Linked DNA regions of Alligator mississippiensis. The protein of the gene in region 1 interacts with the protein of each later gene in a biochemical or structural test. Links are inferred from orthologs where the notes say so. Each region holds a gene or a part of one and is shown on either strand. Other genes may lie near its edges.

Region 1 (7,311 bases):
AATGTATGCATTCACACAGCAAATATGCCAAGGGGTCCCTTGGCTGTGACCAGACTGGGCAAGGCATGTACATTCAGGCCCATATGCCTGAGCTCAGCTGCACACACACATGTATACTTATGCACACCTACCACGTACACACTTATGGCCTCACACCTGTACTTGCACACTCATGCCAGCAGGTCTGCATATGGACACCAGCCAGGCACACAGAACATGCACAATCCTGCAGGTGTGCCAATATGTACACACCCACATATGCACACTCACATATGAGCACCCAAATGTGTGCACCCTCATGCTACTGTTTTGTTACTTCATCCTAGCTGATCTGCATTCCCTACACCCTGGCAATAACTGCCCATCTCTCTCCTGGGGAGAGCTGTGGCAGGGAGCAGGGTCCAGCATTTTGGGCATGGATATTTTGGGCAGGACTCCTGGGTTCCAGTTCCAGCCCCAGCCTTGCCTTCCCCCCACCCCCCCAGCCACTTAGCACTTAACTTATAGCTGCTTACCCCTATCCATGCCTCAGTTTCCCTTCGCTGCAGGATAGGGATGGCATTTGCAGCACACATGGCACAATGCTCCTTACCAGTGCAAAGGGCACTGAGGTTGGGGCTGTCTGCTGAGGGTGCTGTTACTGAGCGCATCTGTGTTCACAGCGATCTCAATTAATTAACAAGGGGTCTGAGTTTCAATGGCAAGGAATCCTCCAAGGATGAGGGAGTAAAAAACCCTGAACAGGAATGGCTGGAGTACAAGGAGGAAGCTGGGGGGTGGGGGCCAGTGGAGGGGCTGGGGGGGAGGATGGGGGTTGAGTAGGGTAGCGGGCCGAGTTCCAGGCAGAGGGAACTCCAGTGAGATCCAGCCCCTGCCTCCTCCTGGGCCCCTCTGCCTGGTTAAAAGGTTCCAGAAGCCTTTTCTTTGCAGGACAAGATAAATCTGTCACTCTCTGGGCTGGGGGAGGGGAAGGGCTGGTGGTGCATGCTGGGTGGGTGAGTGCTGTTGGAGATGCAGGCCAGGGTGGGGGTTGGGGACTCCCCTGCAGGAGCATGGGGCTGGGACAGGCTGGGCTGTGCCATGGTTAGGCCGTGGCTTGCAGTGCTGCGGGGATCGGGCAGGGGTCAGTGCGAGGAGGGCAAGGGAAGGGGACAGAGAGTGCATTGCCCCATCCAAGGCTCCTGTCCTAGCTCTGTCCCAGGGCAACTCTAAGCGGGATGGGTCATGGAGGGGCAGGGCTGGAATAAGCTGGGCAAGGTGCTGGGCAGAGACTCGGACAGAGTACAGGCTTCCTGAAGGCCAGGCCCTCCCAGGCTCAGCTCCATTACAAGGGCAGGGTGTGGAGTTGCTGGACCCCACAGGCACTTTGTTCTGGGCAGAACAGACACTCCCCAGTGCACGGTTCCAGGGTCTTTGAATGCTCGGGGCTTGGGCTCTCTGTTCTAGGATGCAGGGGCAGGCCCCTCCAGCCAGATGCAGTGGTGTCAGCAGGACCAGGTGAGCCACACTGGGTACCCAGAAGGATCCAGCCCTGCTTTGTGCCTCAGTTTCCACTCTCACCCTTTGTCTGTTTAGACTTCTAGCTATTTGGGCCCAGGGCTGTCTCACTCCGTGTCAGAGCAGTATACAGTGTGATGGAGGTCCTGACTTGAGCTGAGGCTTAGTCTGGGCAGTGCCTAGCGCCACCGGGACCATAATCTCAGTAGGTGCCTGCTGGTGCAAGGAGAAGGAAGAAGCTTGGTCTCTGTGGAAGCTTCTAGGTATTACCATAACCTAGACTGTAGCAGAGCCTGCTTCCTTGCAGCTGCTAGCTCCATTGTCTGCCCTGGCTGTCTTGTGGGCAGGGCTGGTAGCAATGCAAGGAATTAAGGGTGCCCCGCACCCGTTTGTCAGCCCCTGTGCATGCGACTGTCCTTCCACCATCATTGAGCACTTGGCTTTGCAGCCGCTGTCCTGTCCTTCCAGCACAGGTTCCTTGCATGCAGTACCATGGATTGCCCATGAGCCTTGGGGTCTCTCTTTGGCCAGTAAAATGCAGCCACCTCTGGTGTGGAATGAGGCTATGCAGTGATATCTTGGGACAGAGTGTGAGGAGCCCAGAAGGCCGCAAAACTGGCTGGGGGAGTCTCAGTGGAGGGAAGGGAGTTGCCAGGGTGGAGATCTGAACTGGGGCCAGGCTCCATCTCCTGTGGAAATGGGCAGGGGCAGAGTGCACTGACCTAGGGAGTCGCTAGGGTAATCTCACCTGTCTGGCGATGACAGTGCCCACAGTGTGTGCCACCTGGACAGTGGGCTCAGCTGTCACCTCCAGCATTTAGCTAAGTGGTCCACTGTGGGCACCAGACCTCAGCCCACAGGGCCCAGCACATTCAGACCCAGGCAGGGGGCTTTCCTCTTCCTTGTCACCCGCTGTCTCCCAGAGAGTGGGTGGTGGGTAGCAGTGGGTGAGGCACCTGGCTTCACACCCCCAGTCCTTCACACCCTGCCAGACCAGGACATTGCTGGAAATGCCCTCCCTCCCCCTGTCCTGCATGTATCAGCCGGGACCTAGGGGCTCCTGGTAGAGACACCAGCCCATCAATCAGGGGCTGAGGCCTCTGCACCGCCCCCTTCTCCATCTTCAGTTGAGTTTCCGGTCCCTTACCGGCAATTAATAGACAAGAACAACAGTGCGCCTTGCGCCCAGACAAGTGAGAACGCAGCTGTCCTAGTGCCATGGGGGCTAGCCTGGGGCGGGTGGGAAGCAGGTACAGGGTGGGGGTGGTAGGGTGCCACGCAAGGCACCAGTATCTCCTAGCTACTGGAGGAAGGAGGCTACCCTCTCCTGCCTCTTGGTGCCTTAACCCTGCGCCCAGCTTCTCAGAGGGGGAGAGGTAGCCAGCACTGAAACACAGAGATTTGTTTTTTTTTCTTTACTTCTTCCCCTTTCGCAGTCAAGCAGAGTTAACCCCTTACAAAGCACCATCTGCCTGATTCACAGTCTCGTTTGGCTTGGGGCCTGCCGTGGGCAGACACTGGATCCTGCCCCAAGCTCCACATGGCAAATGTGGGGGTGTGGGACCAGTCTGTACCGCGCGTCTCAGTTGGCTCCGTGCCCGCCATGGGTACTAGCCAGGATGACTGGGAACTCCCAGTGACTTCCAGAGGGCAACCAGGCCTCAATGTCTCAGATGCATTGCTCTGGTTTGAGCTCAGCCTGTCGGCTGGGGGCCGGGCTTTGAGTATCTCTGCTGCAGAGGGGCCTCTACGGTGGGACATTTCCTCCTCCAGCTGGTACTGGGCTTGGATTCTGTGTCTGCAGCCTGAAGTTGGCTGGTACCAGGAGCAGGGCACCAGAACCCACCTCCTGCGTGGGAGCAGAGCATAACCCAGCGAAGAGCAGATAAGGGGCAGGGAGCGCATGTGCGTGCAAGGCCAGGGGAGAGGATTTCCTTTGATAAGGAGAGCCATGTCACAGAGGGCACAGGCACAGGCAGATGCCCCCAGGCCTCCAGCGTGCAGGGGAGTGGGCCCCGTGGGGCTGGGCGTGGAGCACCGGCGCCGTGGCCTGACCTGGGAGCCAAGGCTGCGTCTGGCAGAGCGCTGGAAGGAGCACGGGATGGGATGGGACTTCCTGGGTCACGGAGTCCAGAGCGCTGCTAACACGGGCGCCACGTCACAGGGTCCCCGCAGGGCCGGGAAGGAGGCTGTTACCCAAGATGCCCCGATGGGGACTGGCTGACTCCTGGGCACCGGGGCTAGGAAAGCAGGGCCCAGCTGCTCCCACACCAGGGTCTTGTCTCCTGCGCCCGGTGGCTGAGGGGCCCGGTGGCTGAGGGGCCCGATGCCGTTTAGGGGCATCCTCCCTGCAGCCTCCTGGGGCCCTTTGACAGGTAGGGAAACTGAGGCAGGGTGCGAGGTGACTTCAGGTGTAGGGGCCCAGCTGGGGTGTGAACCCAAGCGTCCACACTCCCAGCCCGAGCCACCAGACGTCCCTCCCTCCCTCCCCAACTCCCCCCTCACCGCCCCCACTCAAAAAAAAAAAAAAAAAAAAAATGAGCTGCCGCTTTAAGAAGCCCCTCCCCTCCCCTCCCCTCGGGAGGTCTAGACACTTCAAAGGGTTAGTCGGCAGCGACCGGGCCCGCCCCCCGCTCTCCATTGGTTGGCTGCGGGCAGGGGGCGTGTCCCCGCGCGGCCCGTTCCCCCCCGCCCAGTGTAAAGTTTCAGCCGAAGCACATGACGGGCAATGGCTGCTGTCGCCCCGCGCTGAGCGCGCGCCCCGCCAGCGCCGCGTCCCATTGCCCCGCGCCGTTGCCGCCGCCGCCGCCGCCGGAGCGAGGCCCGGGGCTGGGCTGGGCACGATGCGGCCGCGGGTTGCACGCCACGCGGGTGCCTGAGTCGCGCAGGGCCGGGGAGGCGCCCGCTCCTTTCTCTGCAAGGTAACTCCCGGCTCCGCCCGCCTTCTTCGCAAACTTTCCCCTGGGTGCGCTGGGGGGGGGGCGCTTCCTGCGGGGTGAGGCTGGGGAGAGGGAGTCTCTCTCCTTTCCCCCCCAGACTCCACATCCTAGCGCACATTGCAGACCCCCCCACTTGCACCCTGCCAGTTTGTTTGGATTTGCTGCAAATGCAGCCCAGGTTCCTCTCCCCAAGTGACAGGGCCCGCTGCTCCGGTCACTCAGGCGTTGTGACCATAGATGGGGGGGCTGGGGGGCAGGCGGGGGGAGGCACGCTGCTATTGTGCTGCTTGGGGGAGGGGGGAGTGAGCATGGCTGGGGTGGTTTTCCGCGGGGGAGCATGCGTGGCTTGATCCCCTTGTCCTGCGCCCCCCTCCCCCAAGCCCCAAGTGTTCGCACCCAACTGTTGCAGCAGGTTGTGGCTACGCATTCCCAGCTGTCACCCCCTCCCCATGCTCCCCTTCCTGGCTGCATCCTGGCGGGGTGGGGGGTGCTGGTGTGGTTAATAGCCTCCAGGGGCTTCTCAGTGGTAGTGTTTGGTTCACCCCCACCCCACCCCGCCCTTCATCCACTGCCTCCTCTGGTCTCCCCTCCTCTGGCTCCTCTGGAATTTGGGGTGAGGGTAAGTATAAGTAGCCCTTTTTCCGGGAAATCCCAGGCTTTCCATCAAGCCCTTAATTTCCATGCAAACACCTTGCAATGCATTGGAGTGCCTTGGTTGAGTGCTTCTCCAGCTGGCTCTCCTTTCCCAGCTAAGCACTTTTTGCAGAGAACTTTTTTGCTCCTTTATTCCCCCCCCCTCCCCCCTTTAAGGCCCCGTCCAGCCGTGAGCCATTGCTGCGCCTCAGCACGCTTCCCCTTTTGCTGGTGTTACGTGAGGTTAAGCGGTGGGGAGCTCCTGCTGCTCTGCCTTGGCCAGAGCGACGGCTGTGGGTGTGGCGATACGGGGCCTCTGTGCTTTTGAAGGTTTCGAAGTGCCGCTTTTGTTGGTGTGTCACTTTCCCCGGCTTGGCATGATCTTTAAATGGCCTGACACTGCTTTCCAGAGGTGCCTGCGCAATGACTCGGGGAACCCTGTCACCCTCTGTGGTTGTGCTGGTTGGGGAGGTGTGGACAGATAGGCAGGGTGCAGGGCAAGGAGGGTTTGCCTCTTTAGGATGAAGTTTTGGAGAAGGAAGAGCTGTTGGCCTGATAAGCAGAGGAAACCCCATAACAGCACTTCTGAAATGAATCCAGCAGGGTTCACACGGCCGTGAGCAGGGGAGCAGTTCTATGTGGTTACAGTTAATCGGATCTGTCTGAGGCTGGGCCTGTGCAGCAGCTGACAGTGTTGGGGATCTGAAGCAGGAGCCATGGGGATTTTCTGCTGGACCCGTGGCTGGAGGCACCGGGGTCCTCTTGCTGGCAGCATTACTGTTTGGCTGGGTTCTGATCTTGTCCTGCATTGGGGTTGACAAGTGCTGTGCAGGCCAGGCAGCTGAACGGTCCCTGTCCCAAAGAGCAGTCACATGGTGCGGAGTAGACTTTGGGCTGGTCTGGGGAGAGCTGCCTTCCCTGCTGCATGCCCCCTGGGTGCCAGGCACGAGAGCATGGGTCTGTGCTCTGTTTATCTGCAGAGTTATTTAAGGGGTTGGATTGGGCTGCATCCCAGGAGAAGGGTTGTGGGGAATCGGGTCTGTGTCGCTTCCTGGCACAGCTCAGTGCTAACCTGCCGCTGGAGGAGGTAATTCTCCCAGGAGGAAGTAATCTTTCTCTGCAGCTGACAATCCACTGGCGCAGCTACAAACAGTGCAGGGGAAAGAGGAAAGGGGGGGGGTGTCCTTCTGCCCCACCCCCTCCACTTGCTGCCTCCCCCAAGCTCCCACGTGGGGTTGATCCTTCCCTTAGTGCAGGATGACACTTGTGTGACTGCAGCCCTTGTGTACAGGGAGCCTGGCCAGGTGCTCCAGCCTGCATTTGAGAGTTGGAGGGGCCTTGGATGTGATCTGGGCCCTGGGCTCTGCCCCTGCTGCTTGCCAGCTAAAGTGAGTAGGTTGATTGCCAGAGGGAGCCTTGCTGAGACCAGGGAGCTGACTTGAGCAGTGCCCAGCGATTCTGCCTGGGTCCTCAGGTCTCGCAACAGCTTCTCCTCCCCTCAGTTTCTGACCTGCTAAGCAGAGCCTGGTAACTGTGCCACAGGTCAGGGCTGAAGAAAATGAGTTCAGGGCTAGAGCAACTGCTGCAGGGAAGGCACACTCCCTGCAGAAAGCTGTGGCTGAGGTCCTTGTCTTGCCTGAAACAGGTGGGCATGGGGGGCATTCGGCCTCCTGGGTCATGGAACTGGGTTGCCCTGAGCAGGCCTCCCCGACAGCATAATTCATTGTTCTTTTAGCACCAGGACTGTTTCCGGCAGCTCGATGCTGGCACTAGCAATGCCCCTGAGGTCCTGATGGGGAAATTGGAGCACAGAGAGAGCAGGGCATTTTGGAAGGCTACACTGCGTTGGCTTGGTGCTCTGTTGCTCAGTTGACAGCTCATGCAGCACAGTGGGCTACTTATAGGGGGTAATCCTACAGCCCAGATCTTGATGTTGATGGCAGGTACCAGGGGACAGGTGCCTGTGGGCTGTGCAGGGCTGCAGGGGGTGTAGATTGGAGGAGTGACATACAATCAGCACAGCTGGCTGTTTCTGCCAAGCTGCTCAGCAGTGGAAGAGTTAATGTGATTGTTGGCATTGGAATTATCATTAAGTTTCCAAGTGGGCTCCCCCACTCTGTCCAGGGATGCTGGGAAGCTAGGCTCTCTGCAGACTCAGGCAGGTATCTCCGCCTCAGGGCTATATCTCAGGGTGCACCTTGCAGCAGCTGGAGCTGGGAACACATTGTGTTGCTGTGGGGGA
Region 2 (7,677 bases), on another chromosome or scaffold:
AGAAGTCATGCAAGTGAAACATGCTTTCATGAACTGGATGCAGACACGAGCCAGGCACATTAAGGAAGGCTTTGTCAGCCTGAACTTTCCCCACGTGCTAGAGAATGTGTGTTCAGTCCATTCTGTAAATCCCCCTGCCAAAATTTCTAGGAGAGGCAGCTGAAAGATGAATGATATCATTGAGGAATAAATTCATATATAATCTTCTCTCCAAGCAATCTCAAGTCTCTTGTATCGCAAGGGCTCAGGTACAGCTGTGAAAGGCAGAACATCAAAGTCTACGATGTAAAGGGCTGTAGCGTTCAGAGGCAGAGCTAAGTAAACAGGCAAGAGGCCAACCTGGAGCAATAACCCAGCTATTGATAATACCACAGGTACCGTGCAAGACAGCACGTAGTGAAACTCAGCCTTCCTACAGGCATCAAGGTAATGCTTCCACAGGAAGGATACTATCCAGGGTCAGGAGCCAGATGGGAGGGAAAAGAAGATCTCTTATGCCAAGGAGTAAGATATTAATTCAAAGAAGTTCCAAGGACATGATCAGCCCCTTTCAGGATGAACTATCCCAGAGCAGCTTACAGAAATCAAACCCCCAGCTAGTTACAGCACTGACTGCAGACTGCAACGATGAAGAAGAGATTATGAAGCCTTTGCCTACAAACATGGGAGAACAAGCAAGTCTCCAAAGAGCCATAAAAATACCAGGCAGGTCCATCATGTTGGGAGGAGAATGGAAGGGGATAGGAGTCCTTCCACAATCTTTCCCCAGTCTCAAAAGGTGGTTCAGCCTGGTGGTTTCCCTCCTGCTAGATTCAATTAAATGTTTCAGGCCCAAGGGGCTGTGTTAAGAGTTCCAAAGGGGAAGGGGGAAGTGGGAGAGAATAAATGGCCTCTTCAAGCTCTAGCTGGGGGACTGTGTTGACAGAGACACAATCAGCACGGGCTTGTATTCAGTGTCCTTCGTTCAGAGGCTTGCAAAGCACTTTACAAAAACCAGTATTCTAGTCCAGTTCCAGAGGGGGCACTGGGGCAGGGAGCCATCCCCTCCTATGTAGCGCACAGCCGAAGCCAGGCATCCTGACAGTCAGTCCCTGCCTCTAGCCAATGCCTCAAAGCTCCTCTTGCTTATGCTCTGGAGTGCCAATCGGCAGAAGCTCTATAAATACAGTGCTAATCATCGTCACACATTGATTCTACACATATATGCCTGTCCCTGTGAGATGGGGAAGATTTGTTCCTAAAAAAACTCTTGCAGCTCTTTTGCAGATTTCACTCATTTTCACCCTAGCTCTGTGTTGGGGTTTCCCCATCTCCCTCCCCTTGCAGGTTAGGCAGCAGGTATATTCTATGCAGCACTGGCAATTGTAAGCTTTCCCTCTATATATGACATGGCAATGTTTCCTGAGCTATGTTCTGAAGCCACCCACTGGTGGGGTTGTAAAGCATCAAGTGTGTATCACACGCTGCTGGCTTTTCCTTATTTTGACCACCTCCGGTGCCCCCAACACATTTGGATTGTATCAGCCCTGCACTCAGAGGCACAGGGGCAGCTGCATGGGCAGGGAGACGGACTTTGTGCTTTTCTGAGATGAATAAACAAGGTAACTTAGGGTTATTGATCCCGCGGTGTCTGTCAACGTTAAGTCAGTGTGTCTGGCAGGCTTGCTTTTCAAACAACCCTTTGGCCACAGCGTGACAAAAACCTTCACCATTGATATTATTCGACAAGCAAACAAGCTCAGCCATGGACAAGGGCAGCTCACTCCTACCTTGTTTCACTGGTATATTTCTGCAGCATCGCAAACATTGGGCACAGTTTGAAGATACCACACGGCAACAGGAAGAAAGCACTTTGTGGCACACAGGTCAGATGTCTGCCAGAGGCAGGAAGCATCTCGACGTGAACAGCTGGGCCCGAGCACATAAAAATGACACATAAGGGTCTGTGAGGGGGAAGGATTAGTTGTTTTTTTACCTTCTCTGCCACTCCGTCTTCTCCACCTGTGAAGAAATCCGTTTTCCGTCTCAGGAAACTGAAGAACGTGTTCACAAGCTGGAAAAAGAAAAACACAAGAAGACAGGTAACGTCAAGAGACCTGAATTAAAGAGTCTGAGCTGCAAGAGAGCCTACAAGGAAAGGGAGCAAATCTAGATCTTAGCAGTATTGCGATGAGCAAGTCTTCACTCAGCAGGTAGCCGAGAAGACAACTTCTCGCTTCCTTGTTCTTACTTCCAAGCAGCTGATCTAGCAGAATCTTTACATGGTCGCTCCAACGATTTGGTGAAGCATTTTTGGCCTTTTCCTCTAATTAGGTTTTCACAGGGAGCCCACGGACAGAGAGAAGTAGCAGCTCGAACTGAAGAACGGCATTGCATGCTGGTCCAGATACATGGGACATGAAGACAAAGAACCACTTTTATCAGTTGGCTCTGACGGACTAGATTAGAGGAGACAGCAGAGCACGTGGTGCTCACCAAGATGGTCTCTGCCCACACCTCAGCTGGAAGCAGCGCAATGCTGGTATAAATAGTGTTGCTATTCGTTTCCATAGCCAGTGTGGGCAGACTCATTCCCAAGAACCACAATGACTTAGCCTTCCTATACCTTATCCTCCTAGGTTGCTTGAAGCGCTGTGCACCAGTTGCCACAGCAACTGTTTGATTGGGAGGATCAGCAGCAAAGAAACCCCTTCTATAGGGGCCAGAGACATCGCATTTGTGTTTCAACAGTTTCCTTCCACCATGGCTACAGCCAGAGCATGGCCAGGCTCAGGGACCCGAGTGGCAAACGAGCCACCCGCCACACCGCTACTCACCAGCGAGCTTTTCATCCCTCAGCCTGGACGCTGCCTAAACTGCAGCACGAGGCGAGACCCTCGCCTTTCTTGGATAGCTGTTCAGCCCCCGCACGCCAATGGCGCCATGCTAATAATTAACGTGACAACCCGTTTAAGTGCGAATGCTTTCCCAGCGCAACCGCCGATGCCTCCTTTAAGCGCGGGGAGTTAAACGGAGGAAAACATTTGCAACATTAAGGAATGCACGGACTGCTGGCAAACACCGGGAGGGCCGCAGGCATGGCGCTGTCACGAATGTTCGGTGCTCCTAAAACGACCCCGGAAGACGGGGCCCGAGCTGCTTAAGGCCTCTGGATCTTTATGAAGTGCGGTCTCTTCGTGGACAAATCCCACGGCACTTCGCAAAGGTTGATGCCTTTGTTCCCATTTCACAGACGGGAACGTTTGGGCACCCTTCTTATGTACTTCAGGGGCTTTACTCCAGGGCATCCCAACTTTTTTAGGCTGCGGACCGGCAAGCCACGGACCGGAAGTGACCGGTGTACTGGGGAGCGACAGCCGACCCTTTTTTAGGCTCAATCTAAAAAGAGGATTGGCTGCCGCTCCACGGTACGCCGGTCGCTTCCGGACCTCCAGCGCGGCAGCCGACCCGCCGCGACCTAGCGGTCGGGAGCCTCTGCTTTACTCGCTCCGCCGGAGTCGGTGCTTCGTGCTTCTGAGAGCCCGTGAAAACGACGTGTTTGGCGGCGGCGGCGGGGCTGAGACTGCGTCACTCGACGCCTGTAGAAGCAGCTGGCAAAACCAGCAAGTCCCCTCGAGACACGCCGGCGCTCGTCCCACGACGGGCGCGAAGCCGGACTGTCCGCACACGCGCAAGGAGCGGGGGGCTCCCGCTGCAGCAAGGGGAGTCGAGGTTAAGTACGGGCGGAAAGGGGCATCAGGCGCCGAGGCGAGGGGCACGGCCTAGAGGCTGCAGGAGGAAGAGGAAGACCCCCGCCCCCCGGCCGCCCGGCGCTACCTCCCGCACGCCGCCCGGGTGCTGCTGCGCCATGGCCAGGAGCATGCCATCGAAGCGGTCCTCCTGCTCCGCTACCTCCTCCGCGCTCAGCCCCATGGCGACCCGCAACCGCTGCCCGCGACCCCTCGCCCGGAAGCGGAAACGGGCTCCCCCACCAATCAACGCGCCGCATTCCTCCCGCGACCCCTCGTTGATTGGCCGCCGCCGCGCCCAATCCGCAGACGGGGGGGGGAGGAGGGCGGGCGCTTAGCGCGGCACAGGCGCGCGGCGCTGGTTGCTATAGAGACCGGCGCCGTCTCGCGCCTTCCAGAAGGCTCCGCGTGGCCCGTTGGGCGTCGGAGGGCAGGGGTCGCGGCTGGGTTAGGCCTTTAAAGGGATGGTTGAAAGGATTCGTGGGGGAAGGGGGTGACACGAGTGATGGGGTCACAGCCTTGCCTGGAGGTCAGGGGTCACAGAGGGAGAGGTCACCCCTAGCAGCGCAGGGTTGTGGGGAGGGGAAGGACCCCCCCCACCTTCTCCCACACAATTCCTCCCTTGCTCTCCCGCCTGGGCGGCTCCGCAGCGCAAGAAGACGGCGCGGGATAGATCCGGCGGGGTGCGGCGCATTGCGACGCGAACGCCACGGCCCAGAGCAGCTGAAAGCAGTGGGCCGGCAGAAGAGAAGGCTGAAGCGGGATTCGATGGCGGCTTCAACTACCTGAAAGGCGACGCACGGAGAGGATGGAGACGGGCTGCAGGCAGCGGGGCTGGGAGCCACGGACTCAGTCCCGTGTCCCCCCCGTGTTCCATAGATTCATAGATTGCAGAGTCGGAAGGGACCACAGTGGATCATCACGTCCGACCCCTGCCCCTGGCAGGAAAGAGGGCCGAGGGCAGACGACCCTAGCCAGGTGACTATATCCTCCTCGTGAAGATCTCCAAGCTAGGTGATAGCACCACCTCTCTTGGGATCCCGTTCCAGATCCTGGCCACCCTGACTGTGAAAAATGTCTTCCTAATATCTAACCTAAATCCACTCTCAACTAGTTTACACCCCTTATTCCTAGTCACTCCCTGGGGCGCCCTAGTAAACAGCGCTTCCCCTATCCCCTGTTGACCTCTCCTAATAAATTTATAGGCGGCCACAAGGTCTCCCCTCAGCTGTCCCTTGTGAAGGCTGAAGAGATTCAGCTCTCTCGACCTCCCCCGTAGGGTCTTTCCCGAAGGCCACGAATCATGCGAGTGGCCTCCTCTCGATCTCTCCAGATTCCCCGCGTCCCTCCTGAAGTGCGGCGCCCAAAACTGGACACAGCACTGCAACTGCTGCCTGACCAGTGCCACGTAGAGGGGGAGCGTCACCTCCTTTGATCTGTCAGTCATGCACCTGCTAATGCACGACAAGGTGCGACTGGCCTTGTGGATGGCCTCGTTACACTGCCGGCTCACGTTCATCTTGGAGTCGATTACGACTCCAAGATCCCTCTCTGCCTCCGAGCTGCTGAGAAGGACACTCCCCAACCTACAGGTGTGCTGGGGGTTCCTCCTTCCCAGGTGGAGCACCTTACATTTATTTTTATTAAATTGCATCCTATTTCTCTCTGCCCATTGCTCCAACCTGTCCAGGTCAGCCTGAATCTGCTCCCTCCCCTCCGGTGTACTAACTTTGCCCCATAACTTGGTATCATCAGCAAACTTGGAGAGGGTGCTCTCCACGCCCTCATCCAAATCGCTGATGAAGATATTAAATAATACCGGTCTGAGGACCGAACCCTGCGGGACCCCACTGCCCACCTCCCTCCAGGCCGAGAAGGAACCATCCACCACCAAGAGAAGGGAAGGGAGAGGCTCTCTCGAGATGTTGGTTTAATGAAATCTGATTCTCAAACCCCCCCGTGTTTTTCTGACACCAGGTACCCCAGGTCCCAGCCTTGATCCGAGAACCAGATGCCCTCAGTCCGTTGGGTTTCTTTTCGTTATCTGTAACGACAGCAGCCTGCTGTCAACAAGGTTAGACAAACAACCTGCTGATAACATGACTTCCAGGTTGCTCTTTCCAAGGCCAGAGCCTACAGGTTGTTTGCCACCGGGCTCCTGCTCCAGACAAGTGCTGTGTGTGCATGTGCGCGCTCCTTGGCAATGACACCTGTCATACAGTACTGCCTGATTACGCATCGGGGCCTTGGTACCATGGTACAGGCTGGGTTATCGACATTGTTTATCCTGTTTGGACAACCGAGATAAGCCAGCTGCCCAGCCTGCCATTCTGTCCCGTCCTCCTGGCCCTGGCTGGCACTTTCATTGAGAAAACACTTCTTGACGCCACATGAAGAACTCGCTTCCCCAGCCAATCAGGCGAGAGTCAACTTGTTTTTTAATGAATGCTGCTTTGTCAAAGAGAGGTCAAGGGTGGAAGGGGGTGTTCCACTCACCGCCAGCGCCTTATAAATACCACTGAGCGTAGCAGCCAGAGGGTTGAGGCAGCTGAGCTCAGTGGAAGAGGCTGCAGTCGGAGAGCTTTGACGGGCACAGGAGTTCGCGGTTGTGCTCACAGACTCAGCCTGTCAAGTGCACCCAGATCACCTCCTCCTTCAGAGTCAGTGGGATCTGCTTGGTGGGCAGAGCTCTGAGTGCAGGCAGCATGGACGTGGACTATGAGAGATGCCAGTGCCACAGCGAAGAGAACCGGAACGCCATCCTCTATACCCTCCTGAGCCAAAACCTGAACCACAATCATAGCCCATCCCAGCAGCGCTGCCGGTGCCAGAAGCGTCGCACCGTCTGCCTCCAGACACCCCAGGTCACCTGCCAGGCGGCCTCTGATGTCCTGGTGAAAACAGTCAGCTTCATGAAGAACCTGCCCTCCTTCCAGCTGCTGCCCCGGGAGGACCAGCTCCTCCTGCTGGACAGTTGCTGGGCTCCTCTCTTCATTCTGGGGTTGGTTCAAGAGATGGTGACATTCGACGTGATGGAGACCCCGGCCCCCAGCATGCTCAAGAACATTCTCCTCAATGGCCAGAGCAAGAGGCAGGAGCTTGAGAGGACACAACCCACCCTAGCCGGGGTGCAGCGGCTGCAGTGCTGCCTGAACACGTTCTGGAGCCTGGACCTGAGCCCTAAGGAGTATGCCTACCTGAAAGGAGCCATTCTTTTCAACCCTGGTGAGTGCTCTCAGCAGGGCAGAGGGTACTACACAGAGAATCTGGTCTGGGCTGCTTGAAAGCACGCGTGTACGTGTGTGTGTGTGTGTGCGCGCACGCACGCACATACACACGTGAGCAATGGGGAGGATTATCTTAATGTCATTAATCCATAATGTTAACATTTCACACTTTTCATTCCAGTAGCTCAAAAGTAGGAAGAGTAGCCCCATTTTACAGACAGGTAGACCGAGGCCCAGACTGTTGTAGAGGCTAATTTCAGAGGTGCTAAGCATCCTTAATTCCCACTGACTTCTGGAAATCAGTCCCTTGCCATATGCTTTGGGGAAATATTTTGAATAAGACCGTAGACAGTAAAGATCCCAGGGCACAATTTGGAAAGCTGGAGTTGTCCCTGGTTTCACCGGTCAGTATTTCTCTTCCATGGTTATGCTGCACGGTAGTAAAGAGCTCCTTCCACCCCAGAAGTGGCTGCATCTCAGTGGTGCTGCCTTGCATGGTTTATGAAGTACTTTAGGGTCTCTGTGCTATAGATGGTTAAGGTGTGTGTGTTTCTGTCTGTTCACATGCGTGTGCTCAGTAGAAAGAAATTAAGCTTGATTGCAGCAGCAGGAATATGCCAAAATATTCCAGAGAGGAAGTCAAGTGCCAGTGAGTGGGATTGAGATTGGTGCTTAGGCTGGGAAGCAGAGCCCGTAATTCACATTTCAATTGTTCCTCCTTT

The links. The genes of interacting proteins can lie anywhere in the genome.
Region 2: the proteins of RARA (region 1) and NR0B2 form a complex in vitro, tested with the Homo sapiens proteins (2 studies listed by BioGRID). The link is inferred for Alligator mississippiensis from reciprocal best matches to the Homo sapiens genes RARA and NR0B2.

Annotation. Positions count from the first base shown.
Region 1 is NC_081827.1:164,453,457-164,460,767, reverse strand, and holds the start of RARA (retinoic acid receptor alpha), read left to right. Parts: upstream 1-4,229; 5' UTR 4,230-4,418; intron 4,419-7,311. UniProt on the Homo sapiens protein: Receptor for retinoic acid. Retinoic acid receptors bind as heterodimers to their target response elements in response to their ligands, all-trans or 9-cis retinoic acid, and regulate gene expression in various biological processes.
Region 2 is NC_081829.1:2,773,907-2,781,583, forward strand, and holds the start of NR0B2 (nuclear receptor subfamily 0 group B member 2), read left to right. Parts: upstream 1-4,618; 5' UTR 4,619-4,706; intron 4,707-4,712; exon of another isoform or gene 4,713-5,705; 5' UTR 5,706-6,433; coding exon 6,434-6,953; intron 6,954-7,677. Other genes in the region: nuclear migration protein nudC, read right to left, coding at 1,976-2,053, 3,817-3,912. UniProt on the Homo sapiens protein: Transcriptional regulator that acts as a negative regulator of receptor-dependent signaling pathways. Specifically inhibits transactivation of the nuclear receptor with which it interacts.